Lepisosteus oculatus: one gene and its partners. The protein of the gene in region 1 binds, or shares a complex with, the protein of each later gene. Links are inferred from orthologs where the notes say so. Each region holds a gene or a part of one and is shown in the gene's direction. Other genes may lie near its edges. The genes, in order: ncapd2, smc4, ncaph and smc2.

The links.
Region 2: ncapd2 (region 1) and smc4 share a complex: the UniProt entries of both Homo sapiens proteins name them as parts of the condensin complex. The link is inferred for Lepisosteus oculatus from reciprocal best matches to the Homo sapiens genes NCAPD2 and SMC4.
Region 3: ncapd2 (region 1) and ncaph share a complex: the UniProt entries of both Homo sapiens proteins name them as parts of the condensin complex. The link is inferred for Lepisosteus oculatus from reciprocal best matches to the Homo sapiens genes NCAPD2 and NCAPH.
Region 4: ncapd2 (region 1) and smc2 share a complex: the UniProt entries of both Homo sapiens proteins name them as parts of the condensin complex. The link is inferred for Lepisosteus oculatus from reciprocal best matches to the Homo sapiens genes NCAPD2 and SMC2.

What each region holds. Positions count from the first base shown.
Region 1 is NC_090718.1:3,616,721-3,624,429, forward strand, and holds the start of ncapd2 (condensin complex subunit 1), read left to right. Parts: upstream 1-4,351; 5' UTR 4,352-4,525; intron 4,526-5,156; 5' UTR 5,157-5,336; intron 5,337-5,445; 5' UTR 5,446-5,580; intron 5,581-6,654; 5' UTR 6,655-6,716; coding exon 6,717-6,837; intron 6,838-7,709. Other genes in the region: ing4 (inhibitor of growth protein 4), read right to left, coding at 1-24, 282-426, 652-766, 915-1,029, 2,078-2,244, 2,726-2,797, 4,115-4,151. UniProt on the Homo sapiens protein: Regulatory subunit of the condensin complex, a complex required for conversion of interphase chromatin into mitotic-like condense chromosomes.
Region 2 is NC_090708.1:6,028,593-6,036,120, reverse strand, and holds the start of smc4 (structural maintenance of chromosomes protein 4), read left to right. Parts: upstream 1-4,270; 5' UTR 4,271-4,420; intron 4,421-5,791; 5' UTR 5,792-5,800; coding exon 5,801-5,942; intron 5,943-6,778; coding exon 6,779-6,969; intron 6,970-7,446; coding exon 7,447-7,528. Other genes in the region: ift80 (intraflagellar transport protein 80 homolog), read right to left, coding at 2,872-2,906. UniProt on the Homo sapiens protein: Central component of the condensin complex, a complex required for conversion of interphase chromatin into mitotic-like condense chromosomes.
Region 3 is NC_090697.1:68,556,766-68,564,222, forward strand, and holds the start of ncaph (condensin complex subunit 2), read left to right. Parts: upstream 1-4,421; 5' UTR 4,422-4,614; intron 4,615-5,956; exon of another isoform or gene 5,957-5,960; 5' UTR 5,961-5,971; coding exon 5,972-6,216; intron 6,217-7,457. UniProt on the Homo sapiens protein: Regulatory subunit of the condensin complex, a complex required for conversion of interphase chromatin into mitotic-like condense chromosomes.
Region 4 is NC_090696.1:71,822,147-71,830,210, reverse strand, and holds the start of smc2 (structural maintenance of chromosomes protein 2), read left to right. Parts: upstream 1-4,932; 5' UTR 4,933-5,072; intron 5,073-5,163; 5' UTR 5,164-5,273; coding exon 5,274-5,441; intron 5,442-5,653; coding exon 5,654-5,803; intron 5,804-5,930; coding exon 5,931-6,053; intron 6,054-6,246; coding exon 6,247-6,285; intron 6,286-7,152; coding exon 7,153-7,263; intron 7,264-7,350; coding exon 7,351-7,395; intron 7,396-7,671; coding exon 7,672-7,905; intron 7,906-8,064. UniProt on the Homo sapiens protein: Central component of the condensin complex, a complex required for conversion of interphase chromatin into mitotic-like condense chromosomes.

The sequences.
Region 1 (7,709 bases):
GAAGTGGAACCACTCAATGGAGCACTGCAACATGAACACACATTGCACCACACCGCGCTGTTAATTCACATCCTGCACAACCCAGCACAGTAATTCACCACGACAAAGAGACATCACCGCCCTGCGCTGTTAATACTGACAAGACGCACAATGCCCTGCCCACAGTGACACTACACCTAATACTACCAACATGCTTCGCAAGCCAAATAGTGAAACAACACACATCACGCACAACCATGGAGACGCACAGAGGACATACAGACGCACGATTGGACACTCACGTCGGTGTTGTCACAGCCGATCATTTCTCCGTATGAAACCTGGTGACAGAGGCAGTACGTGGGCTCGTTGGGGTCCACAGGCATGTCCAGTACATCAGAGGGGTGAACGTTCCCAAAATTCACGGAGGGGGTGCTGTATTCTCCCCTGAAAGTCGGAGAGAGAGAGAGAGAGAGGGGTTTAATCAGAAAAGGGTGTAAACACTGCACAGAGAGACAGCACAGCAAACAGACAGAACTTCATTCCACGGAGAACGTAGCAAAGACGAAGATGGGGAGACAGGCAGAGATGCAGACAAAAGATTGAGATGGAGGGTAACAAGGAGAGTGAGAAGTGAGGACAGACAAAAAAAAATGTGGGTGAGACACTGACGTGTGGATCAGTTTGACTTTCTTCTGGCCATTCTTGGGGCTGCTGTCGTCGTCCGAGTTCTTGACCTTCGACCTCGTCCGGGCCACTTTCTTTTCCTTCGGCCCCCGAGACTCCGCTGGGAGAGAGGGACAGAAAGTCGTCAGCCGCGGAGCCCAGGGCGAGGGTGACCCGTGCACCCCCACCACCACCAGAGAAGGCAAACCAGGATCGCCGGGGGCGCCCGGCTGGACCCCAGGCAATACCAGCACGTCCCGGCCACTCACTCTTCTTGCCCTTGCTGGACGCGGAGTCGTAGTCGGTGCTCTCGATCTGCTTCTCCTTCAGGTCCGCCTCGAAGCGCGCCAGGTCGGTGTCCAGTCGCCGGATGTGCTTGTCCACCTGCGAGGGGGCAGGTGGTGGTCAGACCGTGTCACATCAGGCCTCCCTGACAGTGCAGTATGTTAACGGGCACAAAGTAATGCAGGACACGCCAGGACATCCAGTCTGGGTCACGTCGCTTTTGTGACCAGGGTTCGAGTCAGCAAGGGGCGCCCCCCTCCTCCAATGGGCACAAGCTCTCCTGTGGGGCTGGCGGAGTGTCCCAGGAGGAGTGGCGTGAGAGCAGCGCGTCCACATGAGTCCTTCTCACAGAAGGGCTCCATCGCTCACGAGGCGAGAGCTGAAAACCGGCGTTTCCAAATCGGGAGTTTGATTTTTTTTTAAAAAGAGCAATTCCCAACCCTGAAAAGAAAACGTAAAAGTAACGGCGTGCTGCGAGTCTTCTTCCTCTGCTTTGGCCTTCTGGGAATTGCAATGGGGTGGTAGAGCAAGCAACCAAAACTACAGAACAGCAAAATTACCTGGTTGTATTTTTTCAGCTCTGACTGGAGGAGTGGTGCAGCTCTCCATGACAACACTGAGAGCCCCACAGTGCCCACAGCACCGTCACTGACTGGAGGAGTGGTGCAGCTCTCCATGACAAACCTGAGAGCCCCAAAGTGCCCACAGCACAGTCACACTGACTGGAGGAGTGGTGCAGCTCTCCATGACAACACTGAGAGCCCCACAGTGCCCACAGCACAGTCACACTGACTGGAGGAGTGGTGCAGCTCTCCATGACAAACCTGAGAGCCCCACAGTGCCCACAGCACAGTCACACTGACTGGAGGAGTGGTGCAGCTCTCCATGACAAACCTGAGAGCCCCACAGTGCCCACAGCACCGTCACAGTGACTGTGAATGGTACAGATCTCATTAACTCACTGAGAGTGCCCAAAACAGAGTTTTCCCCAGCATAAAATGTCCAGGAAGCCAAACTTCACAGCTGTGTCAGGCTCATGGGTTCCAGCAATTTTTAAATGATACAGAACCAGGACCAGGGCTCAGAACTACGCCAGTTTCCTAATCAAAACACGTGGGGCAGCGCCGGCGGCTGGGGGTGAACTCACCATCTCGTACGTCTGCATGGCCAGCTGAACTTTGTCGTCCCCGAACTCCTTGCACTTGCTGTAGGACTGCTGGATCTGGCGCAGCAGGGAGAGCTTCTGCTCTGAGGACAAGGTGCGCGCGTTGGCTGTGTATTCTCGTGCCAGGCCATCGATCTGCCCCTTCAGGTCTGAGGAGGGAGGGGACAGAGCAAGGGAAGAGGCAGGGAGAGGAAAAAGAAGTGAGGAGAAAGACACGAGAGGCCGAGATTACAGAATGGTTTATATCACCCATGTAGGTCAACATACATGGGGATACAGTGGTCCTTATAGTCTGCTGCTCCCCTCCACCACTAGCATTACATCACATAGGAATATGCTGCACTTTAAGTATAAACTATTTATGTTTGTTCTTATAGTCACAGACTATGTTTACTGCAGCTGCCTAAATACAGTACTAGACTACCATTAGGATGTGGTTTTCCAAAGGGTGTCAAACCCAATCCTTGATATTTTGGAAGGGCTGTAAATGCATATTTGCTTTAGTAAGGATTTCTGAGAGTGCATCCCCTCTCTGGAACCCAGTGTGGTAGTGTCTGTTCTCCCCGTGTGTCCAATCCTCTCTCCTGCTCTGCTATACGCTCTCTCCCCACCCCCACCTCTCGCTGGTACCTTCAGTCCGCTGGTCCAGGTCTCTCATCAGCTGGAAGTTCCTCTGCAACTCAAAGGGCAGATTCTCAATACCTGCAGGAAAAAATTAATAATTACAGCTGCAGTGCCGGTATCCAGCTCCTAGTGTACAGTAATGGGAGTACCGTGTTGCATTCAGACTCCGAGTGCACAGCAGGGTAATCCACTCCAGGTTTTACAGTACTCATGTTCTGATCAGAAACAAATTACACTGTATATCTGAAATGTTGCGGACACCACGAGCTCAAGGCAGAGACTTCGGTTTGCGCAGAACAAGCTCTCTATGATATTCTGTCCATCTTTTAACTGCTTCTTCCAGTTGAAGGTTGTGGGGGAGCTGGTGCCTATCCTGGCAAGCAATGGGCACAAGGCAAGGTACACCCTGGACAGGATGCCAACCCATCGCAGGGCACACACACCAGGGCCAGTTTTCCCAGGAGCCAATGAACTGAGGGAGGAAACCAGAGCCCCTGGATGTAACCCATGCAAAAACATGGAGAACATACAAACTCCACACAGACAGCATCCCAGGAATAGTCCTGGTAGCAGTGCAATGTGAGGTAGCAATGCAAACCCCTGCGTCTATACTCGCCTACTTTTATTTTAACAATTTCAAAAACAATGACTGAAAATGAATCTGATAAACATTTTCAGCTCTTCTGCACGCCTGCCATGGCGTGAGTTACGCACTACAGTCCTTGTATGTCTATCAGCTAATCGCTTTCACATTTCCTGTATGTCTGAATGTTCCACAAAAGTCCTGCATTTTGCTCTAACGCTGACAACTTTAAAGAAGACCGATTACTTCTAATGCGTGAACTCCACGTTAAACAGCGGAGATTGGTGGTCTGTTTAAAGAAGCCAGCTAAATCATCAACGTTCAGACTGTTATTGCTCTCCTTTTCAGTACTTTCTTTATCAATAAGCCCCATATGGATTTTAAAACGCATTGCTCAATTTCAAACTATAAATCGGCGACTCATTTGTCCACATATTGACATAAACTACATCAGTAATTGTAAACACATCTACCGTTATACACTAATGCACATTGTAAATAAATCGTTCCATGGGCAAAAACCATTCACTCCTCATGATGTCCTTTCTAATAAAACAAGAACAGCCATTTATTCCAAAACAGCATACCATTTGAAATTGCATTTGATCACAATATCCCCGTTTGGATTTTCAAATGCTGTACAACCCACACATCCAAACTGCGCTTCAACTGGAAAACCACAATACGAGGTACAAAAAACCAAACTACAAGGACTTTTAACCATGGAAGATTTTTCTTCTGCATTAAGTATCCGAGGGATACTTCCAAATAATCGATTTTCTCAGAAAGGGATAATGATAGTTATCACTTACTGTCCAAATAATGCTCCAAATACATCCCAGCCGCCATCTTGACAAGCTGCAAACAAAATAAAGGCGCTTCCGGTCCGGCCGGATATAGAGCCGAGAGAGAGGGTTGCGGGTGAGGTGGTTGAAATCTTTTTTTCTTCCCCCTCCTCCTCTCGACGTTAATTTTTAGGTTATTTTACAGCGGACCAGAATATCTTGAATATTTTATTTTGCCTGTTACATCGCATTTTCACGCAGAACTAAAAATGTTGTTGAAAACAAATATTGAGGACGGCTTTAATTTTTATGGAAATTGCTCATTGCTGCCTACCTCCTGCAGTTCGGCTCCCATCCACAAACGTGACGCTACTAACTGCACAGTACCGGTGATGAGTATTTACAGAAGTTCATTGCACAAAATCATCGATCTTTTGTGTATGTTTCATGAACTACACTGTTGTTTACTTTGTATTAATTGATATGGGGTGGGGGGACGGATATATCGCAATGTACTATAAATCTTAAAGTAACTGCAAATTGTTTTGAAACATCTGCTATTTATTTATTTTCACAAAGAAAACTGATATGTTAGCAATAAATTCAACGTTTCCGAACAACTATCATTATATTGTGTTTTTTAGCCGTTTAATTTAGGACCTAGGACCTAGATTAAATTTAGATTAAAGATCTAGATTAAAGTTAATAATAGATAACTTTTTTTTCTAGATCTTCAAAACGTTCAAAAATAATCGGTGGTATTGTTTAAGGCTGTAAATCTGCAATGGTAGAAATCTTATCTTTTATGGTGAATTTACACATAAAACCCTAAAACGTGCATCGGTGTGTAAGCATTCAAATCTATTTTTTAATTCATTAACAAAACCAAACAGTTTCTGCAGATGTGTATCGAACGGTGTAATGTATTACGCGTCTACGTTTTCACCGCGTCTTGCTTTTTATTCCGTTTTTTTGTGAAAGCTAGAAAAAAAACTATTTAAGATGAGACAACAGCAGCAGTATTGGCTATCGGTGCTTTGCGGTGGCTGAATTTGTTTTCCTCCATCAGCCTCGTTTTCAATCAGACATGGCCGCCGCGGTGAAAGGGCTCTATTCCCTCAGCCTATGCTGGGAGCACGTGGACGGAAGTCGCCGCAGCCATTGGCGCGGGAGAAAATTCAAAAAATGTCCCGGCTGCCGACTAACCGCTGTTAGCCGACTAGCCGCTGCCTGGCCTGGAGGTTTACAGGTAACGTTTGTTTTAAATACGTTGTTTCAGTCGGCTAAACCCGTAAGAAAAACGGGGTTAAAACGTTTACTTCTCGCTTTTAAATTTATTTTTATACTTTGTTTACCAGGCGTCTTATGCGAGTCTCAGGGAGCGAAGCCGAGCAGTTAGTGGGAAGCGAGTGAACATTTGCCGTTTTGAAGGAAACTCTCTGGGGCCCCAGAGAAAATTACAGAAACCTCAATAAGAAAACCGAAGCGCTGCGGTAAGTCGGATTTCTTTGTTTCTTGAGATATATATATATATTTTGCTGGCGTCGTAATAGTATGGTATCGTCAGAGCTGGTGGCTGTGTGATGTCTTTCGTCCGTCTCTCCGCCTTTTCTTCAGGTTATGACTCCGTTTTGGACCCGATGGAGTCTAATTATTTTAATGAACTTAATAATAAATATTATAAGCTGGCTCCAGAAAGTTTTTATAGGTGCCAGTACGTTAAGGAAAGCAACGTTAGGGGGTCATCAGCTTCCTGTGTTTGTCAATATAAATGTAAGGGTCAAGTTGACGATTTGGGTTAGCCCAAAAAGCAGATTAGCCTCTTACTTGATCCAAGAAGTTGCTTCAATTCTCGATTTACGTTTTGTTCCTAATCTCAAATTTGTTATTTTATGTCACTTAGAAAATACAAGGGTTAAAGCTCCAACGACAATAATAATAATGGTTCCTTACGTTTATATAGTGTTTTTATGAGCACTCCACTGAAAGTGCTTTACAGGTCATGGGGATCCCCTGCAACACCAGTGTGCAGCCCCACCTGGATGATGTTCCAGTACTCTCCCCACACACCAGCTCTCAGTGGGGAGGAGAGCAGAGTGGTGAAGCCAGTTCAGAGATGGGGATTACCAGGGAGAAATTTAGCGTCAGGGTAACAGCCTACTCTTTTTGAGAAACACCCTGGGATTTTTAATGACCACGGAGAGTCTGGACTTTGGTTTCATGTCTCAGCCGAAGGACGGCGCCTTTTTTACAGTATAGTGTCCCCATCACTATACTGGGACATTAGGACCCACATAGACTGTAGGATTTGTGCTGATTTCTGGTCCCACATGTTTAAGCTCTGGAAACAAACGGTTCAAATCAATCTTATTAAGTGAATGAAGGGACTGATTGTGTGACCGGGGACTCGGCTGGAACAAAAACCCACAGGTGTGTGGATCGCCAGGACTGGGAACCGGTACTCTAGGTCCTCCGGGAACTGGGTGACCCCTGTGGTTTGAGCTCAGGTTTATTAACCCTTCTCGCTTTTTGTTGCTCTCTCCGCCCCTCGTTCACACTCGATCCAGTTCTCCATCTGAGCCGCTGCTGTGCGTTTCCGCGCGCTCTGTGCCCACACTCGCAGGCGGCCATGTCCCAGTTCGACTTCTGTATCCCGCTCTGCCTGGGGGACCTGGTGAAGACGGGGGCGATCAACCAGTATGTGGTCCAGGACGTCCTGTCCCCCAAGCAGCTGGCCGGCCATGTCCAGAGTGAGTATGGAGAGGGAGGTGCACACCCGGCTATACATATGACTGGATTCAAAGTCTCTCATGGGCTTGTTAAGCCTGAGAGGTGGCTCCACGTGCTCGTTGGTGGGGTGGCTCTTTATTTCTGTTGCACAGTGTGTTCTGTTTTATGCAGTCTCTGGAGAGCCATTTCAGTGCTGATTGGTTTGCGATGCAGTTTCCCCTTTGTGTTGGCGAGTGCCTTGCACTCTCCCTGCAGGTTATGTTGTAGGACTGCCCTTCCTGCGGAAGCCAAAATGTCAGGTTGGGTGATTGTGGCAGAAAGGTTAGCAGCATCACTGCCTTTGTGACTTAATCTCCGAATCTAACCGTGAAAAGGCCTTCCAGTATGGCAATTTGGCCACAAGTACATCTCTGCTCTGCTTTCTTCCCTGTCTGTTATACAATGTGTATTTCAATGTTTATGTAGTTCAGTGGCTGCTCTACAAAGGTACTGCTCTGACTTCAGTCTTCCATCACACACCAGGAAAACAGGCACAAATTCTTCCTTTCTTCGTGTGATGTTGGGTAAAGATCAAGTAAATGTCTGATGACTGCTGCAAAAAGGTTTTTTTTTATATGATGAGATCTAGCGCAGAGCAGCTATCCCATGTTCTTCTGACATTATGGGGGCTGTCCTGCTCTTGTGATGGTTGAAGGACAGTAAATGCATGATAAAGAAACAATTCAGTGTTTTTGAAAAAAGACATTTAAGCACTTTCCGTGGTTTTGTGCTCAGACTAGTATCAGCACACAAAGCTGTCAGCTGCTCACAAGAAGGTCACTTTTTTTAAAGTCAGAAGGTTAAAAAAAAGTGCCCCCTTCTGCCCTTTTAAGTGAGATTTCACATTAAAGCT
Region 2 (7,528 bases), on another chromosome or scaffold:
GCAATTTAATTCCTTGTAGAAAAGAGCATAGTTTTATTTTTTCTGTACTTCCAAATTTATTTTACTTTCATAACTTTGATGTCTAAGCCCCCTTATTTTAAGACCACCTATGAACACAGCGAGGGTGGTCTTAGTACATGTTATACTGTACACTTCAAAGTGTGCATCAGACTTCTCATCTGCCACAGAATGAATTTCTGGTCAATGAAGCGTGTTTTTAACTTCTTTAAGTTGAAAAGAGTAAAGGACTTTTACAGCAGAATTAAAGACCTGAGTCCTCATTTGTATAGTCAATTGTTTTATGTGTGTATCTCTACAGTCTATCAATATGGCAGACTCACAGAAAAATAAATCCAGCCTACTGTTTATTCCCAGTACCATATATATGACTTAAAATACTTAAAATATTAAATTAACATTAAACTCCACCCAAGTTAAACTTGTATGACATATATCCACAGCAATCATTTACGATCTGATTTAACTGTAATGTTATTATCTAATTACACAAAAGTTCAAAAAAGAACATACGATAAAACATAATCGTACTTATATTAGGAGGACAAATTTAATCTTAATCTTGTTTCAAAATATTTTTTTAGGTGAGAATTTTTAAGATTCATCAGCATACGCACTTGGGATATTTATGTAAATGACAATAAAAGTTAAACTTAAAACAAAGTCAGTATTGAAATCTAATATCTCTCACTAGTTATTAAACTTCTAAGCAACAGTGGCCAATTATGGTTGTACAGATTTTTGTTTTCTTCATAAATTTCAAATTGGCTCTCTTTAAAAACCGGGAAATTAAGGCAATCTAAAATTTGTTAAACTCAGTGGGGCAGATAAGGCAATCGCTATAGAACCCAAACTTTGGTGGTGCATCAAGCGAGATGGCACCCTGACCTGTGTACTGTGTGCACTGAATGAACTGAAACTGTGCTTCAGATCTGTGCTTCATTAGTTACTGGGGAAATGTTTATGACCTTTTTATCAATAGAATGATACTTAATGTGGGACGAATATAGTAGGAAAGTATCATTATGGTGACAATAAAATGATTATTATAACACTGTAATCATCATAAATAACTCTGGCCGCCATTTTGTCAGCCTGCAGCACAGTCTGAATTGACACATGGCAGACTTCATTGACTTCCAGATCTTCTTCAGATCTGCATCTCACAAGTTGCTGAGACAACTATTACATCCCTACCTATTACAAGGTCAGCAACATTTTGTCAAAACACAGAACATATTTCAAACTTCTACTACTTAAAAAATATGGCTGCCCAATGAACTCTATACTTGCCAAGTATCACTCCAGTAATAGTACAATTTCAATATGGCAAAATGGGGTTCCTGTATAAACCAGGATGAGCTGATTTCCATTTTGTTAACAACAATGGCCCATATTGCCCACAGTGCAAACTTATTTTCGAAAACTGTTCGATCATTTACCTCCAAACGTAACAGTAAGGGTGGGCGATATGTTTAAAAAATCTATACCACAATATTTAAATGGTACAGAATATACACATCATGATATTGCGTAATGTTTATCAAGGTTCGGTAGTATTGCAACCTTATTGTAATTGGGTACTCGGAACAGAGAATGAATGGAAATCATGGTACATGGATTTTTTTTAAAAGTAATGGCAATATTTTCTCAGAATATTAATGATGAAATCTAAGTTAATAAGACATTATAAGCTTCAGTTCTCGTTCACTATTCCCCCACGTTTGGGACAGGCATTGACATTGGCAGTGTCCTGGGGTGATGCTATAAACAAGGTAGTAAACAGAAAGACAGCTACAGTATACCAGCGCAGGACCATTCCAAAGGAAAGGCAGTATTTGCCTGAGGACAGCATTGTAAAGGGCAGGAAATGTGTTTGCTTTAATCTATGTCAGCATTCCAGCTTCCAGTCAAACATTTTATGTTATAAAATACATCCTCATGGTTAAGGCACAGTACAAGTAGATTGGAGGAATGGTATATAAAGCAGATGGTAATGATTGATGAGCACAATTATTTATGTGAGTTAATAGATTATAGACGTGATATAATTCAAAACACTGTACTGTAAATTCCTGGAAATTACACAAAATAAGTCAAGAAGCTGGTATTAACACAAGCAGCAACTGAAATTTCCAAAGTAAACGACAATCTTGGGTTATCAGAAGGTGATTTAAGAATATATAAGAAAGAAGAGAAAGGGGTTCTATTTTAAAGGATGCTTCATTTGAATTCCGTTATGTGATATACATCACCATATTGCCCAAACTTACTTGGCAGACATCAATTCTAGTGACCATGCAGTTACAACATGATGAAATAAGGCTCCACTGTAAATTAATATGGTCTCCTGATCGCTTTTTTTATCAATATTCGAACCGCCCCAGTCTTGGGGAAAAAAACTTCACAGACTGAATTGAAACTTGGGAGATTTCATCAATACCCAAATCTGATACTTATCTAGGAAGAAACTAACATATCCCCCACTCATTACATGGGTAATTGATTTCTAATGTTTGTAAAAAACACTTTTCTTCCTCACACTATAAACAACTTTAACAATGTCACATCTCAAACTAAATCAGAAACTGGCTGTATGATTTTTTACGTTGAACAACAAAGTTAGTTTGAATTTTAGGACTCTATATTATTATTCTGTTAATTAACTGGTAACTTCTGGAGCGATACAGAAAGGAAGAATCCTATCAATAATCGGAAATCCTTAAATCCTACATTGGATTTTTAAATACATTTCAAGTACGTGCTTTGGAAGAAAATGTCAGGAACAAAATAGCATAGTTATGGTTAGTTTTATTCTTTACAGCGTTCGTTACATATGTTTAAAGGATATGTTTAGGCTCCTTCAAGATTGATGTCTTTAATCTCATGGTAGCGATTTATTAGAAGCCCGTGTCACTTGTATACTCAGGACCTATTGGGAGAGGATTAAGCAAAATAAAAAGAAAAGAAACAGCTATTATCTCATCATAGGTGTCTTTATTACAGGAAAACATAACCGTCCACAGCTCCAATAAATTGCAGAAAATTAAAGATTAAGCACCTGGTCTACATTTTATATTTTTATGTCTGTTTCCTGTTATTTTACGGTTGCACGTGTGGGATTTTTCTTCAGGTTCAATACATACAGTTAACGTTTACATGGTTTATAAACGTTTATACTTCACACTCTTTGTTAAAATGCCACGTTAAAACATCTTGAAGGTTTATTTAAAGTGAGAACAGGGTGTCGGTAAACTGCAGTAACGTCCGGTAAACACAAGCAATAAAATGAAGATAATAATAATGGCGTGCATGCATGTATTAAAGAACAGCTCAAAGTTGAAAAGTGAAATTTGGGCATATTTAGGAATGTGTGCTCCCAGATTTTCTAAGTATTTATTATGTAAATTACGTTGTGAAAAACAACGTGAATTGTAAACCACAAGTGGGTATATATAACTTTACGTATGTTATCGACCCGCTGTCATTGATGCATAAAAAATATCTGTTGATATATTCATTTGCAGAATAATAAAAACAAGCATCCCGTTGCTAGGGCAATGAAACTTCCTGGAATATTTGTAAAACAGTACCAAACACAACTTAATATTATAAAGTCATATCTAAAAACTCCATTTATTTTAGTATGCCAATCGACAATTTTCACGGGTTAAGGAAAAAATACATGTGTACTGCACAAATTTCATTAGACTACGGAAAAACTTACCAGTCTTCTCTGGTTGAGCCGTCTTGACTGTATCGCGAGACTAGACACCCCGTTTCTTTGGCAACGAACCAAGCAACAGAACGGAAGGAGGAAAAGTGTCTTTTAAAATAGAAATAACAAACCTAATGTTATATAAAAATGATTTTCTGCGATTGTGAATTAAAAAAGACCAACGTAAAAACAGACATTAATAATATGTATGTCAAAACTCCTCCCCCGCCGCTCTCCCGGTTTCTAGGCAACAGACCTAAGACGTAATGACAGATAAGTCGAAAATATATTGTAATTAAGTCCGTTGTTATTTTTATCTCGCCATTCAAGGGTGTTCGCACGGGGTTTGTAAGTTAAATGATGGGACTGACCTTGAAAAATCTTTAACAAGGGTGTTTATGAAAACGGTCAAGAGCTGGCTTCGGCCCCCTTTTTTTTTAAATTTCTTATTTTCTCGCCCGGCGCAGTTCCCAGGATGCCTCGCGCCGGTTTGTAACGAATTTCGGTTTGACTTCAGCTTTTCGGCGCCATTTTCGAGTGAGGAGCTGCGCTGGGAGTTGGGAGTGGGGATGAGAAGAGACTGATATTTTACACATTTGGGCTCTTTTTCTGTTGGCCTCCTTCCCTGGATTGCGTTAAAAACCTCTTGAAAAATACGGAAAAAAATTAGGACACCGATCTGAGGTACTTGGGTTTCTTTGTGACGTACAGTTAAGGGTAAACGCTGTTAGAGCAAGAATATTTTTAGCGGGACGGATTCTAGCAGACTTGACGGACCGGTGAGGAGGAGGAGGGGGGTTATTTGTAAACACATTTGAAGGACGACTCTTACAGTGCTTGCTAAAAGAAAGCGTTTATCTGGTGACTGAAAATTACTCTAAAGCTTTGCTCCGGCCGAATTCACATAGCTGTTAGCTTTTCAGTTTCTTCGCATCTCACACTTGTTCGTGCCTGTAGCTGTGAATGTTAGTTGTTTTTTTTTTTTACTTTCAGTTATCACTAAATGTTTATCTTGTCGGATTAAGCTAGTACTTTCTAATAACTCGTCAATCGGAGACCCTGGCAGTGAATTTATTTTATATCTGTGATTTCATGTATGTTAATGTTGCTTTCGTTGCATTGTTGTTGATGTTCCGAAGATTTTTTTTTAATTGAGTTTTTGGGGAACTTGATTTTTTTTGGGGGGGTTTCCAAGACTTTCTAAATCATTGACGTATTTGTATTAAAAAAAATACAAAAATAAATATTGACGATACACCCGTGTCGATAGATGAAGTCACAGTAGCGGTAACGGGGGTCGCTTTCGTTTGGACAGCCGTTTTGTGAGGTAGCACTTGCGTGTTTCGAGTATCGAAAATGAAGGAAAAAAAATCAACCGTTTCATTTGATTTTCCCCGTTGGTGGAGATGGTGGATCCATTGCGCGACAGAACTAAAACATTTTTACTACGATTCGAATCTGACCAATCAAAATTAACTTTTCTTCAACGCGTGCTAGAGAAAAGCCCACGATTGGCCGCCTGGAAACCTACGGGACTTGCATTTTGTTTGCAAAGATAAACTTGTAATTCTGGCTGTTGTGTGTTAGTAATGTGCGCTCCGGAGTCTCTGTTAAAGACGTCACGGGTTTTTTTTTCCTTCTTGTTATGTGGGGGTAACGTGACGCGGTGCCTGATGCGTGCAATCCAGTTATCAGTCCACTTCTTATTAAATGAAATCAGAAGAAAATATCTGCCGACGAATCAACTTCCTTTCCTGCAAATTTGTGGATGCGGCTAGATCATAGGATACACCATGCTGGGTTTTTTTTATGTTCAGGATGTTTTCCCCTTCAAAAAAAAGGATAATGTTGCTCTTTTAAGTGTGATGTGCACTGGTAGCCCTACCTAAGGTCTTCGGCCGAAAATGCGGGTTCCGTGGTCCTTTGAGACGGATTATCGTGAAATGCCCCCTTTGAGGGCTGACGAAGGAACTTGACAAGTGGAGAAGCGTTGCGATGGAGATCTGTCCTCCCTTCTCTTGGGGATTTGTTCTGATGTGAGATCTCCCCCTCCAGATTATAGCAATGCCCTCCAAAACGACAAAAAGCTCAACTGCTGCCCAGCCGAAAGGCAAAGGGGCGCAGCCCCAGGATGAGTCCGCGGACGAGATGGAAGTACCCCCTGGAGAACCCAACTCAGATGGCAGTGTAGCACCACAGAAGAAGGGTGAGTTACACTGCACTGCACTGCACTGGGGAGAAGGGAGTTGCTGGGCGGCTAAAAAGCACTTTTTAATGCACGGATCTGAGGAGTTGGGCATAGCAGTGTTGAATGATACAGTATTGTGATGTCCAAACTGTTTCCACGGACAGTCTCTTGATTTATTGGTGCTTCGTGTACTTTAGGTTCAAAGTTACCGGAGAGATGACAAGTTTAATTTTTTTTCCTGGAGTTCTTTCATGAACGACGTTTGTTGATTTTTTTACCCCCCACCTTTATCTGGTATTTGACAAGTAGAAATTTCGTGATGTCAGGAGTGGGTTACTGATGACCGAGTACTTTTCGATACTTTTCGATCCCTGTGTTTTAAGAGGAGGAAAGTTGGGAATTGGTCTTTCAGGGCAGAAACAATGATGTCCGTACCAGTGCATTGTCTTTCTTGTTAGTAATAACTTATGTAAGGTCTGAAGAGCTTGCAATCAGACGTTTGTTGAAATCGCAACGGTGTGTAATTTTTAAACAGCAAATCTTGCTATCCAAATTAGTTTGAAACTGTGCTTGACGTTTGTAAGAGTTTTATATTGAACATTTCTCGTGAAGACAATTAAAATGTTAATATTGTAAAAAAAAAATGCGCTTGAATGGTTGATTTCCAGCAATGTTATATCGACGAATGTTTAAAAGCGCACTGACTGAATTTGCACTTAGGATTTAACTTCCGATGTTTTTCGTTGTCTTTGTTCTGCCAGTGTGACCAGAACGGCGGTTGGCTTTCCCGCACCCCCACTCACGACACCAGTGTTGCTTGAAACTGAACTTTTAATGTCCACTTTTCAACTTAGATGCAGGTCCCGGAGCGACAGCAGACGCGGTTGATAATCGAAGTTTAGAGGAGATTTTGAGTAGCATCCCTCCTCCCCCACCCCCAGCAATGACCAATGAACCGGGGGCTCCTCGTCTGATGATAACTCACATTGTTAATCGCAACTTTAAATCATACGCTGGTGAACAGATCCTGGGGCCTTTTCATAAGGTAAAGACATGTAAAGAGAGTTGTAAATGCAGGGTATCAGATGGGAAATTAGAGAGCTCACTTTGCATTAAGTGTCCACTTTCTAGGTATAACAGTTTCCTAGCAGTTTTGGTCTCCAGAACCTTCTAAAAATGTATGTAACTAATATCTCTGGGTGGGAAATTTTGAGTGTTAAGTACAAATTCTGTCTTAATTTTATGTTGAGAAGGGGACTTATTTTATAAAATTGTTAAAATTCATAAACTATTTAAAGTTTCCTGTATATGCTTGCTTTGGAAAATAAAATGAACACAACTAGTGTGTTTTAGACAGTGGTGTATTTTCTTTTCTTTTGGATTTTCTTCCAGTTGTTCAGTAGAATGAAGTTTGCTTGTTAATCTCTTCATTGACATTCAACAGTTTCCTCACTACTGTGCATTTGTTTTAAAAAAAAACTTGTTTCTAAAACAATTCAATGGTTTTGTTTTCTTCCCTCAGCGCTTTTCCTGCATTATTGGTCCAAACGGCAGTGGAAAATCCAATGTGATAGATTCAATGCTTTTCGTATTTGGATACAGGG
Region 3 (7,457 bases), on another chromosome or scaffold:
GCGAGGATTTTCTTTCCATTTCCCCATAATTTTGAGGAATGCCTCCCTGAATAAAATAAGTGCTGCATCCAGTAACGTAAATAAAAAGCATTAACGAGAGGTAGGCATGTTCTGACTGGCTGTTTGGCAGAGACTTCTGTACAGTTTTGAAAAGGACGGGCCAGCAGTATGAGACTAAGTGAGAGACACTAGCAGTCGTATGTGTTCCTGCCTATCTGTGTTTGGGCTAGGCACTTCACAGCTTTATCATGCCAGTAGCATTCATAAACATGCAAGTTTATTTAAGGCACTCTCAAAAATATGATGAAGGCTTTCTAGATGCAGCGTACTTTTTTGTTTCCAGATGGAAACAAAAAAATAATCTGAGGAGTACTCACGAGTGCGTTTTGTTTTTCAAGGAATTATCAGTAAATGAGTTTGCCTCACGTTAACAAAGAGAGGAAAAGCTGGAGCTCTTATTGGTGGAACAACCGAGACTTAAGCTGATTCTAAAAACACCTGCACACTGGAGGACTCTAGCTCAGTGGTGCACTGCTCCATTTTTTTAAAAAGAGCAGGTTGGAGGCAGAATTCAATGATCTGTGAACAAAAGCAAAAGTAATCTTCTTCAAACTTTAGTCTTTGAGTTTTATTTTGTGTGTGCTTGAGAATGTATGGTACAGCATGCCAGCAGAAGGAATGCCCAATAAATGTCTGATCCAAAACAGGGGCACACCACCCCCTCTCCTAAACTTTCAAAGCATATATTAACAATGGACTCGAAGCATATTTTGGAAAATTATAATAAAAGCAGTGATGGTAATAACAAACCTCATCATTAACTGTCATTCCCTACCACCCTTCCAAACAAAATAGCCTGGCTGGGTTTTCTGATGGCTTTTCATGTGAAATTATTAATAACCCATTACCCCTTCAGTGAAGCTATCATTCCATGGCCTGTCAGATGCTCAGTACATCAGCAGCTGCTTTTAACTCTCGTCTGCGAGCCACAAAGCAAAATGAGACACACTCCATAAATATTATGCTGAGCCCAACCTGCCTGGAGCAAGCCGGAATTATTATCCTGCATTATGGTGTATTAGAGAACATTACAGATCCCCCCCTCCTAAGGGTCATGATGATGTCTTTTCCCCATATACTCCAGTGCAATTTCTGGTGCTGGAGGGGATCTCATTCACAAATAACCTGGCAGTTTTAACACTCCTATACAGAATACACAAAAATATAAGAACACTGTATGGGCAGCAAATGAGAAGGCCCATCATGCCCACTTGGGTCCTAGTAGCTAATGCATTCACAAATTTAATTCTGCCGTACAAGATCCCAGAGTGTCTGCTCCAACAGCTTGTCAAAACTGCCTGTTCCAGACACCCACCACTCATCTCAGTAATTACCTGACTAAGGGACGCAACAGAGCCAGGTGTGTTTATTCTGACATCTTGTGAACCACTATTATCCCATACACAGGCCATTCAACTAATCGTTTGACTTGTTGCTTCTTTCATCTATTACAGTATGTGCCCCACAGCTTAGATTTCAAAGCTGATTTTGAAACGTGTGGGACAATTAGCATTGCACTGTTGTCTAAACATACTTTAATGTACTTTACCCATCTCTGGTAATTATTTTCATCCCTTCTTAAAAGAATTGTGGAGAAGCCCTTCTGTAACAGCAGAAAGAATAACAAGGAATCCTACTGAATTGGTACGTGGTACTTTTTTCAACAAATTATCAGGTGTTGCTTAGTGCTTCTTGAGGTTATTAAAAAGGTCTTCTCTTTCAGAAAGCTAGTTGATTCAAATTCACTTTAGATCATTTAAAAATGTTGCATAAAAATTATCAAATGTTAATAACTGAGTTTCAGACTTACTGTATGTAAAGAACATTGAACTCTTGTGTTAATACAGCTTGGTATCATTCTGCTTCCAGAAACGACAGAACTGAACATTCAGAATAAACTAAATAGGCAACTGTTTTGGAAAACTGTATTGCATGTTTTCTCCCACCTATAGGCAATGATGCATAATTGCACGTAATTTTCCAAGCAGCCAGGACAGCTAACAGGTAGGTTCCATCCACAGTCAAAACGTAACCTACCTGTAGTGGCATCAAAGCTAACATCAGGCATGATTACATTTCAACCTAAAGTACACTTTTTCTTAGAAGCAGAAATCAATCACATTTTCAGATTTTTTTGTAATTCTTTCTATATAAAATAATGTAAATATAAATAAAGGTATATTAGATGTATCGAATGCAAAAAAATGATATTTCACATAATTAGTAATTGGGGCACATTTATACATCTCCCAATCCCGTTACCCCCTCGACACCATCAAATCCACTAATCTTGCTGGACCCACCCTTTCGGGACTTGAAAGACACTCTGCTAAAATAATTCTTTCTGGCAACCCAGTGCTCTGCACTCCCCCCGCTGCCAATATCTCCAGTTGTGACAAAATTGAAAATTCCCTCAGGCTTTCAGTCAGAAAAATTCAAATTGAGGAGACCTCACCAGGTGCAATTCTAAGTCTTTTAAGGAAATGGAAAAGTTGAAAGTTGGCTTGGTTAAAAAAACACAACATGCCTTCTGAATCCCAGAGCGTAATTGGGCCCACTGGGGCATGCAGGTAAATATGGCTGGAGGATCAGTGCTCGGAGAGGGGCTGTGTATGTAATTAAAAGCTGCGCTTGCACAGGGCTGTGTTCTCAGGCCAGTGAAAAGCCTACAGTGGCTGAACACTCACATTGTCCAGTGTTGCTGCAGGACCTGGGGACTTATCCTACACTCCCTTCCAGGTCAGATATGGCCAGCAGCCATATCACTCTGCAACTCACAACTGGCAACCCACTGAAGCTCAGCAGGTGTAAGCCTGGCCAGTACCTGGATGGGAGACCTCCTGGGAAAACTAAGGTTGCTGCTGGAAGAGGTGTTAGTGGAGCCAGCAGGGGGCGCTCACCCTGTGGTCCATGTGGGTCCTAATGCCCCAGTATGGTGACGGGGACACTATACTGTAAACAGGCGCCGTCCTTTGGATGGGATGTAAAACCGAGGTCATTAAAAATCCCAGGGTCTTGAAAAGAGTAGGGGTGTAACCCCGGAATCCTGGCCAAACTTCCCATTGGCCCTTACCAATAATCCCCATCTATGAATTGGCTTCATTACTCTGCTCTCCTCCCCACTGAGAGCTGGTGTGTGATAAGTGTTCTGGCGCACTATGGCTGCTGTTGCATCATCCAGGTGGATGCTGCACATTGGTGGTGGTGGAGGGGAGTCCCCGTTACCTGTAAAGTGCTTTGAGTGGACTGTCCAGAAAAGTGCTATATGAGTGTAAGCAATTATTAATAATTATTATTAGATTCCCAAAGGACCACTATTTACACGCTGCCTCTTCTGTCAGACTCAAGCACGCGTGTCTCATGCTGCTTACACAATTCAGTAATGAAAACTTATCACATATAATCATCTCAACTGATGATAGCTGGGATGTCAGGTTATGCAAATCTGTCATGGTGTTAGTGGTGTTAGTGGGGCCAGCAGGGGGCGCTCACCCTGTGGTCCATGTGGGTCCTAATGCCCCAGTATAGTGATGGGGACACTATACTGTAAACAGGCGCCGTCCTTCGGATGAGACGTAAAACCGAGGTCCTGACTCTCTGTGGTCATTAAAAATCCCAGGGCTCTTCTCGAAAAGAGTAGGGGTGTACCCCGGTGTCCTGGCCAAATTTCCAATTGGCCCTTACTAATCATGGCCTCCTAATAATCCCCCTCTATGAATTGGCTACATTACTCCGCTCTCCTCCCCACTGATAGCTGATGTGTGGTGAGCGTTCTGGCGCACTATGGCTGCCGTCGCATCATCCAGGTGGATGCTGCACATTGGTGGTGGTGGAGGGGAGTCCCCATTACCTGTAAAGCGCTTTGAGTGGAGTGTCCAGAAAAGCGCTATATAAGTGTAAGCAATTATTATTATTATTATTGTCATGTTAACAGTACCTAACACCTAGTGTAGTCTAAAATCTAATTAGGTTCTCTAAGAGGAAAACAAGCTAACTGCTGTCGTTACTAATACATCTAGAACTATTATACCATATAATAGTTAATATTATACCTGGATAATATTATACAGATATAGATAATATTACACCGGGGTTCCCATCAAGGTCGTAAGCGATTTATCTGGTTAAATAAAGGATTAGGTAAACATCCGCACACCATTTTATCGCGCTATTTCTTATAAAATATCTAGGGAAGGGAAAATGTGCACTATAAATAGCGCCAGGGCCTCCTTTGTACAATATTTCCTGCATTTACTAATAGCACAAAACCTACAGCCCACCCACTTGCCTACAGAGCAGGAAACTCAAATGAGAACCGTGTTTTTGACTATACGTGATGACGTTTTACGATCGCGCCGATGTGCGTGCGCATGCGTAATTGTGTCGGCGCAAATTTTCAAAAAGTGAGGACTGAGCAATCTTAAGTAACATCGTATAACATATTATCCATCATATTCACAAACAGTTTATTGGTGGTGTTTTTTGGGGTTTTTAAATCTTGTTATTTTTAGTGTTGGCTTATATAGCCTTCGGTTAAACAGGATCTAGATCACGGTAAGGCTTTTTAAAGTTTTTTTTTCTGATCCCGGTGCGTGATCTGAATTGTGTTAATACAAAACAGTAATTGGAATTTAAAATCAGAGCTATATAACTTAAATATAGCTCCAATAAATATGTATCTGGGATAACAATATTTTTTCTCAACAATTTGGAAGTTATGTGCTCGTAAAAATTGGTTTCAGAGGAGAAATTTCGGTGATGTTTCGAGTTATTTACATCTCGGCAAAACCAGTAAATATGACGCGATCGCTTATAAAACTGCAAGTAATGTACGCACGGTTATGTGCGCTCGTTACGTTAAAATTATATTTATAATGTATCTCGATTATCCAGTAGAATTGTTAATACAGCAGTAGAAACCACCACAGACCAAAACAAACATCGCACTCCGGATGTTTCGCCTCTTCTGTCCCTGGGCGACTCTCTATTGTAACAGTCAGGCCGGTGTGTCCTAACCTCAGTTGTATTTTAACTGTCCATAACAGTGTTCTTACTGGGGTTGAATAATAGTGTAATTCCTTATTAGGTTGACTTTTATAGAAAATGACTCACAGAAGTTACATTTACCTGTTTTTAAAGGTGGACTTGCTGAAATAATCTGGTTAAAGTACTTTATACAGTACTTAATCCCTACTCCACTCTTAATTGTACAATGCTACCTATGATTTCAACAGGAAGTCGGTCGAAAATTAAAGCTTGTGCTTCATAATGCATTCTGAGTATTTGTACTGTTCTAGCTGTTTGTGTAACAGAGCTTGACTAATTGTAATTATTGCTCAGTTGAACAGACAGACAAGGACATGTTGTCGTAAAAGTATAAAAGTGCTAACTGTACTGTGACGAAGAGCCATCCATAAAATGGAGGAAACACTGACTTTGTAGCTAGACCTTGTATATCATGCAAAAAGCTCATAGATATTCCAAGGATGAGGAAATATTCTAGTAGAGTTCTACTTATGCTAGATTTGTTCATTGTAATATGGGCTGGATCTGTATGTTAAGCGCTGTCTGAGGGATGGTCTGTACTACTATACTACTATTACTACTACTACTAATTATTATTATTATTATTTATTACTCTACTCAAAGCTCTTTATGGGTAATGGGGACTCCCCTCCATTACCACCAGTGTGCAGCCCCACCTGGATGATGCGACGGCAGCCATAGTGCGCCAGAACGATCCCCTCACATCAGCTATGAGTGGGGAGGAGGACAGAGTGATGAAGCCAATTCAGAGATGGGGATTGTTAAATATGAAGTTGCATGCGTACCTCATTCTTATTGCCAGCTTCGGGGTTGTCTAAGAGTGCTGTTCTGTGCCATCTCTCTCTCCGAGGCAGCCTGTGCCGCGATGAGTGCCTCCTCCACCCCCCGCCTGGGCATGCGCTCCCACGTCCTCACGGAGATGCTGCCCGGGAAGCAGTTCGTCTCGCCCTCCACCCGTGCCAAGGTGGTGCAGGTCGCCCACCAGCCGCTGCTCAACAGCTGCCCCAGCAACGATGACGACCTGGAGAAGAGGCAGAGGCGGCGCTCCAAGGTCATCGACCTGCACATGAGCGGCCTGGATGGCTCGCTGCTGGATTCCCCTGCGCGCAGGTCAGCCGGGGGCTTACAGCCAGGCCACAGAGTTTCATGAGCATGTGTTTCCCTGTGTGACTGTGGGTGGCAAGGTGGCACATTACAGTAGATTTCCTGTAGGGCTCTCCTGCTTAAATACCTCCAAGATCCTTTTTTATTTATTTAAGCGAGTGGCACGGTGGCGCAGTGGTTAACATTTCTGCCTCACAGTTTCCAGGGAGCTATCAGTGTGAAGTTCGTATGTTTTCTCCGTGTTTGCCTGGATGTCCTCCTGGTGCTCCACTTTCCTCACACAGCCCAAAGACGTGTTGGTAGGTTAATTGGCTTCTGGGAAAACTGGCCCTGGTGTGTGTGTGTGTTTGTGTCTGTGCGTGCCCTGTGATGGATTGACATCCTGTCCAGGGTGTTTTCTGTCTTGTGCCCCTTGCTTGCTGGGATAGGCTCCAGCTTCGGCACCCCCACGACTCTGTTTTGCATGAAGTGGTTAGAAAAGGGATGGAAAGCCTGAGCTTCTTGAAGCAGTGGTATCGCACGTCAGTTATACTGTCCATCATTGTAGGATTAGCAGTTAGAATTGTTCTCAGTGTGGAGTTCTGGGGGAATCCCAGAAAAACAAAGGGAAAGTTCTCTCTTACATCAGTGAACCTTCACATACAGATGGGCTTTCAGAAAAGCAGAAAAAGGTGTAGATAGATAGATAGATACTTTATTGATCCCGTGAGGGAAATTGCAGTGCAACAGCAGCTTAACACACACAACACAGCCACAGTGTAACGAATTATATACTAATAGTACAATACATACAATACAATACAATACAATACAAGAGTTACTCACAGTCCGGACACACAAGAGGAAACTAGAACAGAACAGTACACAGAAAATCGTATCACACGTATGAATATAAATATAGATGTAACCATAGATGTAACCAATAGATGTAACCAATATAAATGTATTGCACAGGTCCCTGGCATATATTGCACAAAAGTGGTTGTCAATGGGAAAAAGAAAAAGAAAGAGAACAGAGGTAGCGCTGCTCTTTGAACATTGCATGCAGGGATCCAGTGTATATAGCCTCACTCAGCAGCCTGATCAAAAGATCAAAGAGATCTCCTGGGGAGACAGATTGGTGTCCAGACCCTTTGTCTTTCTGATATATTTCTGAGCCTCTCAGATGTGTACAAGGTTTTTAAAGCAAAATGAATTTGCAACAGAAATTTTCTTCTTTGGTTTCTCCAGCATGTTCATGTTAGGGG
Region 4 (8,064 bases), on another chromosome or scaffold:
GCTGGAAGGTTGCTGGTTCATATCCCACGCATACCCAGGGGTGCTGTATAAATGTCTGACCCTGCGCTCTGACCCCAAGCTTCTCTCTTTGTCTGTGTGTCTCATGGAGAGCAAGCTGGGGTATGCGAGAAGTCAAATTCCTAATACAAGAAATTGTATGAGGCAAATAAAGTGATCTCTCAATAGCGCTAGTGTCCTGGGTTTAATTCCTGCCTGGTAGTCCTCTGGGAGGCATGTTCTCCCTGTGCCTGTGTGGTTTTCTCCAGGTCTTCCTGTTCGCTTCCACCTCCCAGAGAGATTCTGATTAGGTTTGTTGGTGTCTCTACAGTATGTCAGGGGTTGTCAAGTCATGTCTGTGAGAGTCAGTGTCTCTGCAGGGGTTTCCATGTTTCCATGTTCCCCAACAAAACAAAACAACAAAACGGAAGCTTGTCTGGTTGTTGAGAGAGGGTATGGGGGTGGGTAGTAGACACCTGTGGTCACAACGTTATAGAAAAGATATTATGATATTGCTTCTCTGGAATCAGTTCAGAGAAGAGCAACCAGAACCCTTTTATACTTTAACAGAGAAAACTACAAGGAGGCCCTATACAAGTGTTCAAGGTCCTCAGTGGCACTGGCAGAATTAACCCAGTGGATTCTTCAGAATGAACAGTGAAATGCATTCTCCAGGTGTGCCTTCTTTTATCTCCCTCCAGTGCTCAGTATTAGCATTTGGATGCCTGAGGGTATAGGCCTCATCCCCGACATCGCCTGACCTCTCCCCGTTATCCCTGGATATGTACAGTATGTTCGTGTTTTCCCACTCACAAGGATTTGAACCTTGTGTCGTCTCAGGCTGGGTCTCCCGGTTTTGGACTCATGGATTGTGCCCTGACCCTCCTTCGGACCTGCTTGGATTTGGACGCCAGTCTTTGTTTCCCTGCTCACCATTTCACGAACTGTCACAGTTACTTTGTTGCACTATTAAACCACTGTGTGTTTTCCCCGAACTACAGTACGTCTCCCGCTTCCTTCAGCTCTTGCCGCTTCACAAGGAGTCTAAACACAACACCCGAGACGGACTACGGAGCCAATCTGTAACAAAGAGGTGTTTAGATCTGCTTCTCCGGTAATGTAACACCCAAAGGTACACATTTATGAAGTGAATCACCACACTTTCTCAGGCCATCTCATGATGAAAATGTTACTTAACATTAGTTTCACAGTATTCACAGCAACATAAATATTCCTAAATGGAAACTTCATCCCAACAATGCAGATTTTCCTGGAATGTTTAGATATTTAGTTGTATTTTGGGTTGTTGGGTCAAATATTGTGCATGCAATAATCCTAAATTCACCCAGGTGTGTTAATATTGAAAAGAAAAGATTATACTTGAACAACAGAGAAGCAAGTACATTTTTGTGAATTTAAATGATTCTGTTTAATTACCCATAATTTGTGTAAGGCAGGCAGAAGAAAACATATAAGTGAAGTTAAATGAACAGATGGAACTTTAAAAAATGTGTTAATCAGTGTGGTTTTGCAAAACATCCACATTGTCTACATTTAATCCACAGTACTATACTGTATTAAAGAGCTTCTAAATGAAAACATCAGATCAAAACTGGTTAATTCATTCACACATTTTTTATATTTTTTCAAAATGCTAAAATGTGTCATAGAAACAAAATAAAAATGGGTATTAGTACGTTTCAAATGAGGCAGTGTCAGAAATTCAGCAGATTTAAACAGTCTTGTAGCAGTATTTTATTCAATAAGGTCTGACTCTTAACTTTACTTCCAACCAGATACAATCTATTAACTGAGTCACAGCAAAGTTTTTTGCAATTTCCTTTTGCAAAACCATCTTAAATTAAATTAGGAAGATTTAAAAAAAAAAAGCAGTTTCTCATTTGCACCTTAACTGTTGCAAAGACTGTTGAGTGTTTCTGCTGCTTACACTGATCCACTAGCTTGGTGAGATGTGACAGGACAATTCATTTATGGTGCTCTACAGTATGTTAATCACAATGGCTGCCTGAATAAGTTGGTCTGCAAAATGTAAATGACCATTGTCTAAGAATTGATATACCAAATGACTCGAGACATGGAGGATTTAATTACATGCGGATCTTCTTCAAAAGTGTACTTCACAGACTGCACCAATTCTTTCTAGCTTCCCACTGAGTGATTGCATGGTTGGAGAGACAAGACCTACTGTATAATAACAGCTCCTCTGCTACAAAAAGCTTTCGACTAATTAACTCTAAACTTTATAGGTACAGTATAACACTAGTAACAGGATTTGTTTATGCAGGATGAACAAAGGAGAAAATAAAGTACAGTACCTGCATAAGTCAAGGTGGCTGCCAGACAATTGCTTCCGTTATTTAGTCCTGTATAAACAACATTACCTTGAAACTTAGACATTCAACACCAATTAAACAGTGACAAGGAAACAGCCAAAGACACAAACTGCTTCTGCACTCCAAGTGTTTGGTCCTTTCACTCTACAGTGTATGGTTTTAAACATTTGTGCCACCAGGATGAAATTTGGCAAAATAGGGAAATCGAGATGACTGTCTGGTTGCCAGTTCTTTTTCTGATTTATTTTTCTTTTCCTCCAAATTCCTGATTTCTTGGGAAGAGTAGGACATACAGTAACCTAGGTGCACAGAAGGAAAAGGCTCTATGGACAGCAACTCATAACCTCTAAGAAGGGGTAAACTACAGACCCGCACCAGGCTCGGGGTACCCTTCTTAGGAGGTCAGAAATATAACGGTGTGGTACTCCCTTCTGGGCCTTAAAAAACAAGAGTGATATCTTGGCATCTATATGAAATTCAACAGGAATGTCAAGACAGAGGGTTTGACAAAGTCAGACCCAGTCAGTACTCAGTCAGTTGCTGTGTTCTGAACCCACTGAATTTTGGCACTGACAGAACTTAATATAACTGAGCAACGTTACAAAGACAAAAGAAAGCCGTCCTGGTGATGCGTTGGATATTCTCTTCAGAAATTAAAGTAGGGTAAAAAAAATGTCACATATATGTCGTATTAACATATCAGTCACCATAAATTGCCATGCGTAGATCATAGTTGCTCAGTTTATCTCAGTTGATGCAGACCAATAGAAAACGGCCAAATGACAAATAATCATTAAGACACAATACAAAGTACCCAGTTGAAAATGATAAAGAAAGTTATCAAGGAGAGTAAAGTTATATGTATACATTATAGAAATAGAAATTTAAGAAGTCAATAGTGTTCAGTATTGTTATCAATGCTGGACAAAGAATATTGCTGCTCTAGAGATTAAAGAATAAACTTAGTCATTTCCTGTTTTAAAATGCATAACGCAGACAGATGGAAAATGAAATTAGTTTTCCCAACAGGGTAATTGTGCACCAGAAAACATCACTGTAAGATCCGGTTTGATTCCCTTGTAAGACATTTAACAAAACAGAATCAATTTCTACGAAAGAATAATATGTGCTACACAACTGTAATGTACTGCTGCCACACAGTGGCTGTTTTCTTCTGTATTTCATGTGCCAACAGATTTCTGTAATAAAGTCTGCGACTGTAAAACACTTGCAAAGATTAAACAAAACCTGTAGCTTGGATGAAAGGAGCAATGTACTCACACTAGTGAACCATTTGAGGAAAAGTGCCTTTTTTAAAATTAAGGTTCTAGGATAAGGATTTATATTGTAATATATAATTAGCTTATCGTATTTTGCACAGACTGAAAATGATACTGAACAGCTTAAACATTAAGATCATTACAATTAAATATCATTACAGTTCACATAACCCCGTGCAGAACATTGAACCTTTACAATAGAATGGAAAAAATGCCCACATACAGCCAACATTAAAGTACATAGCAAAGGATACGCCCCTGCGCATTACAGTGATGTTGGCCGCCCGGGCTAAAGAAAGTCTTCTTTAGCTCAGCCGGCAAGACCCGGGTTCCAGCCCATGTGAGGGCAGAAGCCCGAGAACCCGAATTCAATATTAAAAAAACGTTAATCTTAATACAGGTAAATAATATTAACAAAAACAAGAAAGGAAACTGGTCCCATGTTGGCTCCAATCGTCGTCTACACCCAACCTTGATGAGCACGAGTAATCGGAGCCAAAATGGCACAGGGAGGACTGCAGTTTCCACGTTGTAAACGGTGAACGCCACTGAATGACATCAACCACCTGTACGGGACTGATATAGATATTTAATACGAATACGGTATAAAAATGTTCACTCATTTCTTCATTTCACTGGAACCTAAACTGAAATACAGGTGATGTTAATGTCAGGCTGAGAAATATGCGCAGACGAGGTAGAAATTAGGGTAACAAAGGTTTCCCTTAACAGCCAGGGGTGCGGATCCTTCAGAGAAATGAGGACTTTTCCCCCTTAACCACAACCGTAGAGCAAACTGAGGTATTTGAAGCGGCATGTCTTTTTGCCTTAACTGAAACAGAGAAGTGCTTCGAACAAAAATGTGTTTGTCCTTATTGTGCCGCATTACAACAATTATGTATGTATCGTACTCCGCAGCTATATTATATATTTTTAACTAAATTACAGAGAATTCCTTTAAAGCTGCCCCCCAATCATATTATGCAAATAAACATGCCATTTATTGTTTAAAACCATACGACATTAACAAAGTAGCATAATAGAAGCACTATATATAACTGATCGGTTTCTCTCTTTTCTGTTTTCAAAGCGCTACGCAGGCGGGACAATCAACTCAAAACAACCAATCAGCAGTGACTCTTCCTACGCCAACCTGACGTCAAATATTTTCCTTTTAGCTGGCAAAATAATGCCTGAATGAAACAATGGTTGAATTTCAATTTTTAAAAAAAAATTTTTTTAGGAAGACACAGTATAATGAAAAAAATATATATCTCTAACTTAATACATTAAAGGAATCAAACCTGTAATACTACACCGCTTTTCAAATTATTTCAGGCGCATCGAACACCAAAGAGGACCAGCGCTGCCTGCCGCCAAAATTCAAGTTCGCTGAACACAGGAAGAGTAAGGGAACAGTGGCGTTTTGTTATTGTGTGAGGTATGTATTCACGTTTTGGGTAAAAATAAACGCAGTTTTGAAAGCGAATGTATAACAGCAACCGTTTATGCCTTTTTTCACCTCATCCCAGGTAATCGAGAGCTGAAACAAGGCTTCGGGAGGTGACACTAGAATACAACTTTCCTGTAGCTGCGGATGAAGTTCATCGGGGAGTTGAATTTGTAAAACGTTGAAACGAAGATGTACATCAAATCTATCATCTTAGAAGGCTTCAAATCCTACGCCCAGAGAACGGAGATCAATGGCTTTGACCCGTTGTTCAACGCTATCACCGGTCTGAACGGCAGTGGCAAGTCCAATATCCTGGACTCCATCTGTTTCCTGCTCGGGATTTCCAACCTGACTCAGGTAGCGCCGGGTGCCCGTACGCTTTGCACTAGCTTGTGAGCAGTGCTAGTTTTTACTGTGCGGTTCACTTTTTTTTTTCGGTGTGTTCCCCCCCACCCCGATGCAGTATGAATTCGTGTTTTATGCTAGTCCCTAGGCATGCGGGGGGAAACCGGGAGTACGTTATATATTATAAATGTCACCGAAAGATCATCCCTGGAAATCTCGTTTAGGTGCGAGCGTCCAATCTTCAGGATCTGGTCTACAAAAACGGTCAAGCTGGGATCACTAAGGCCTCTGTTTCCATTACGTTTGACAACTCTGACAAGAAGCAAAGTCCCCTTGGGTTTGAGACCCACGACGAAATCACTGTTACGCGTCAGGTATTTGTTTTTATCATTAGCCCGGACTGCAGTTCTGGTATGTTTCATTTTTTTTTCAGAATGCATTGCATTCGTTTAATAAATGAGATTTGTATTGAGTGCTTTTTCCCCCCCGTCTATTTTAAAGGTGGTCATTGGTGGGAGAAACAAATACCTCATAAATGGGGTAAATGCCAACAACAACCGGGTACAAGACTTGTTCTGCTCCGTTGGGCTCAATGTCAACAATCCTCATTTTCTGATTATGCAGGTGAGCATAATTGATAGCTATACCTGTACGTCCCTGTTATGAATCGTTTTGAATTTTATCTCAAGACCTGCTTTGAAGGATGAATTTTTAACGCGCAATTTCTTAACATGTGCGCGGAATTGCTTGTAAACGCATAGTTTGTGTTAAGGTATGTTTGTGTCGAGTAACTTGGGACCACTTTTGATTTTTTCAGGGCAGAATTACGAAAGTTTTGAACATGAAACCCCAGGAGGTAAGTCAGCTCTGCTGCTTTCTTATGCATCTCTTCCCTTCAGGGAATCAGAATGAGCTCCACCATCTTTTTTTTCCTCTGAGCAGAAATCTGCACGTTAAAATATTTCACAGGAGAGACCCATGAGAAAACAACCCACAAATATTTGTTATTGTACCTTAACATTTCTGGACAGAAGACAGTGTTGTTTATGAAAGTGTAACTAAATAAACATTTCAGTTAATCTAATGTACTGTAACCGGATAGCAGCATTTTATACTGATTTAGGTAGAGTTTTGCATTAATTGTTCTGTAGGTCTGTAGGAACTGAACTGATGTCAATGAGGAATTAAAGTATTTTTATGTTTGAAAACGCCATAAAAAATGGAAAAAAGGAAATAGCATTCTTGAACCCAGTTTATAACTTTTCAGAAAGTAACAAATCCCCAAGTGTGTATTTTATAAATGAATAGGAGACTGGAGGCGATAGTGTGTTATTGGTGTTCTATTTAGCTTGTCACATGATGCCCTCAAACTTGCCTTGGATTTTTTTCGTTTTTAAAACCCCTAAAATGACTAAATAAAAAATTAAGCGAGCCCCTTTTTGCTAATATCTTATCTGCTGAGACTTTTCCCTCCTGAGATAGTTATTCAACACATACAGTACAATATTGACAGGAAGTTGTAGTTTAATGATATCAAAAGTATATACCCAGAGGGCACAAAACTGGTTTTGCTAAACTAAACTGGGGATGAAGTAAAGACGATTGCCAATAAGATTATAAATAGAGATTGTGGCTATAAATGAACATTGAAAACATGGAATATGGTGTGATGTAGTACTGTAGTACCCCTAGTCTTTGGGATTGATGAGTATTCTTTATTTAGATCCTGGCAATGATTGAAGAAGCAGCAGGCACCAGGATGTATGAGATCAAAAAGATGGGTGCGCAGAAAACTATTGAAAAGAAGGAGGGCAAGCTAAAAGAGATCCAGACGGTACGGTATCATTGTCAGTGTGCAGAGCTTCATTTCATTCTGGCTGAATGGTAACAGTAATAACCACATATTTGTGTTTTTCGACAGGTGTTAAGAGAAGAGATCACACCAACTCTAGAGAAGCTGAAGGAGGTAAGTCCTACCAGGTTATGGGGTGGTCCAGAATTGTGTTTTTCCCATTGGTAGGTTGTAATCTGTAGCACTCCTGGTGGTTTGTTTATTTTTCTAGGTATTTCTTAAAACGCGGATCTTTTAAAAATGACAACAGTGAAAGAAGTTTGGAATCATTGATGAATCATTATGCCCATTTGTATATGTTTTCACAACAGGAAAAAAAGTGGCTGTTTTGAAAAAGACAAGTTAAGAGGTACATGGCCTGAGACCCACTTCTAAGCCTTTGTTTCGTAGGAACGATCATCGTACTTTGAGTATCAGAAGGTGTTGAAGGAAATGGAGCATCTTACTCGCCTGTATGTGGCCTATCAATTTGTGTGCGCCGAGGAAACCAAAGCCAAGTCGGCTGCAGAGCTGAAGGTGCTGGAGGATGGCACAGTCAAGCTGCGGGAGAAGATGGCAGACAATGAGAAGAAAGTGAAGGAGCTCTCTCAGGAAATTGCTCGGCTGGAGGACAAGAGAGACCAGGTGCTGTAGCTCACTCTTCGCTTTTTGATTGTTCGTTTTGGAGTATAAAGAGAGACTCATGGCTTTTAGGAGAGCAAAATCCTTATGGAAACTCGGGTTGTGTGGGCCAATGTTTTCTTTTATAAGTCCTTCCTGATAGGAAAATATTTTATGCGGTGC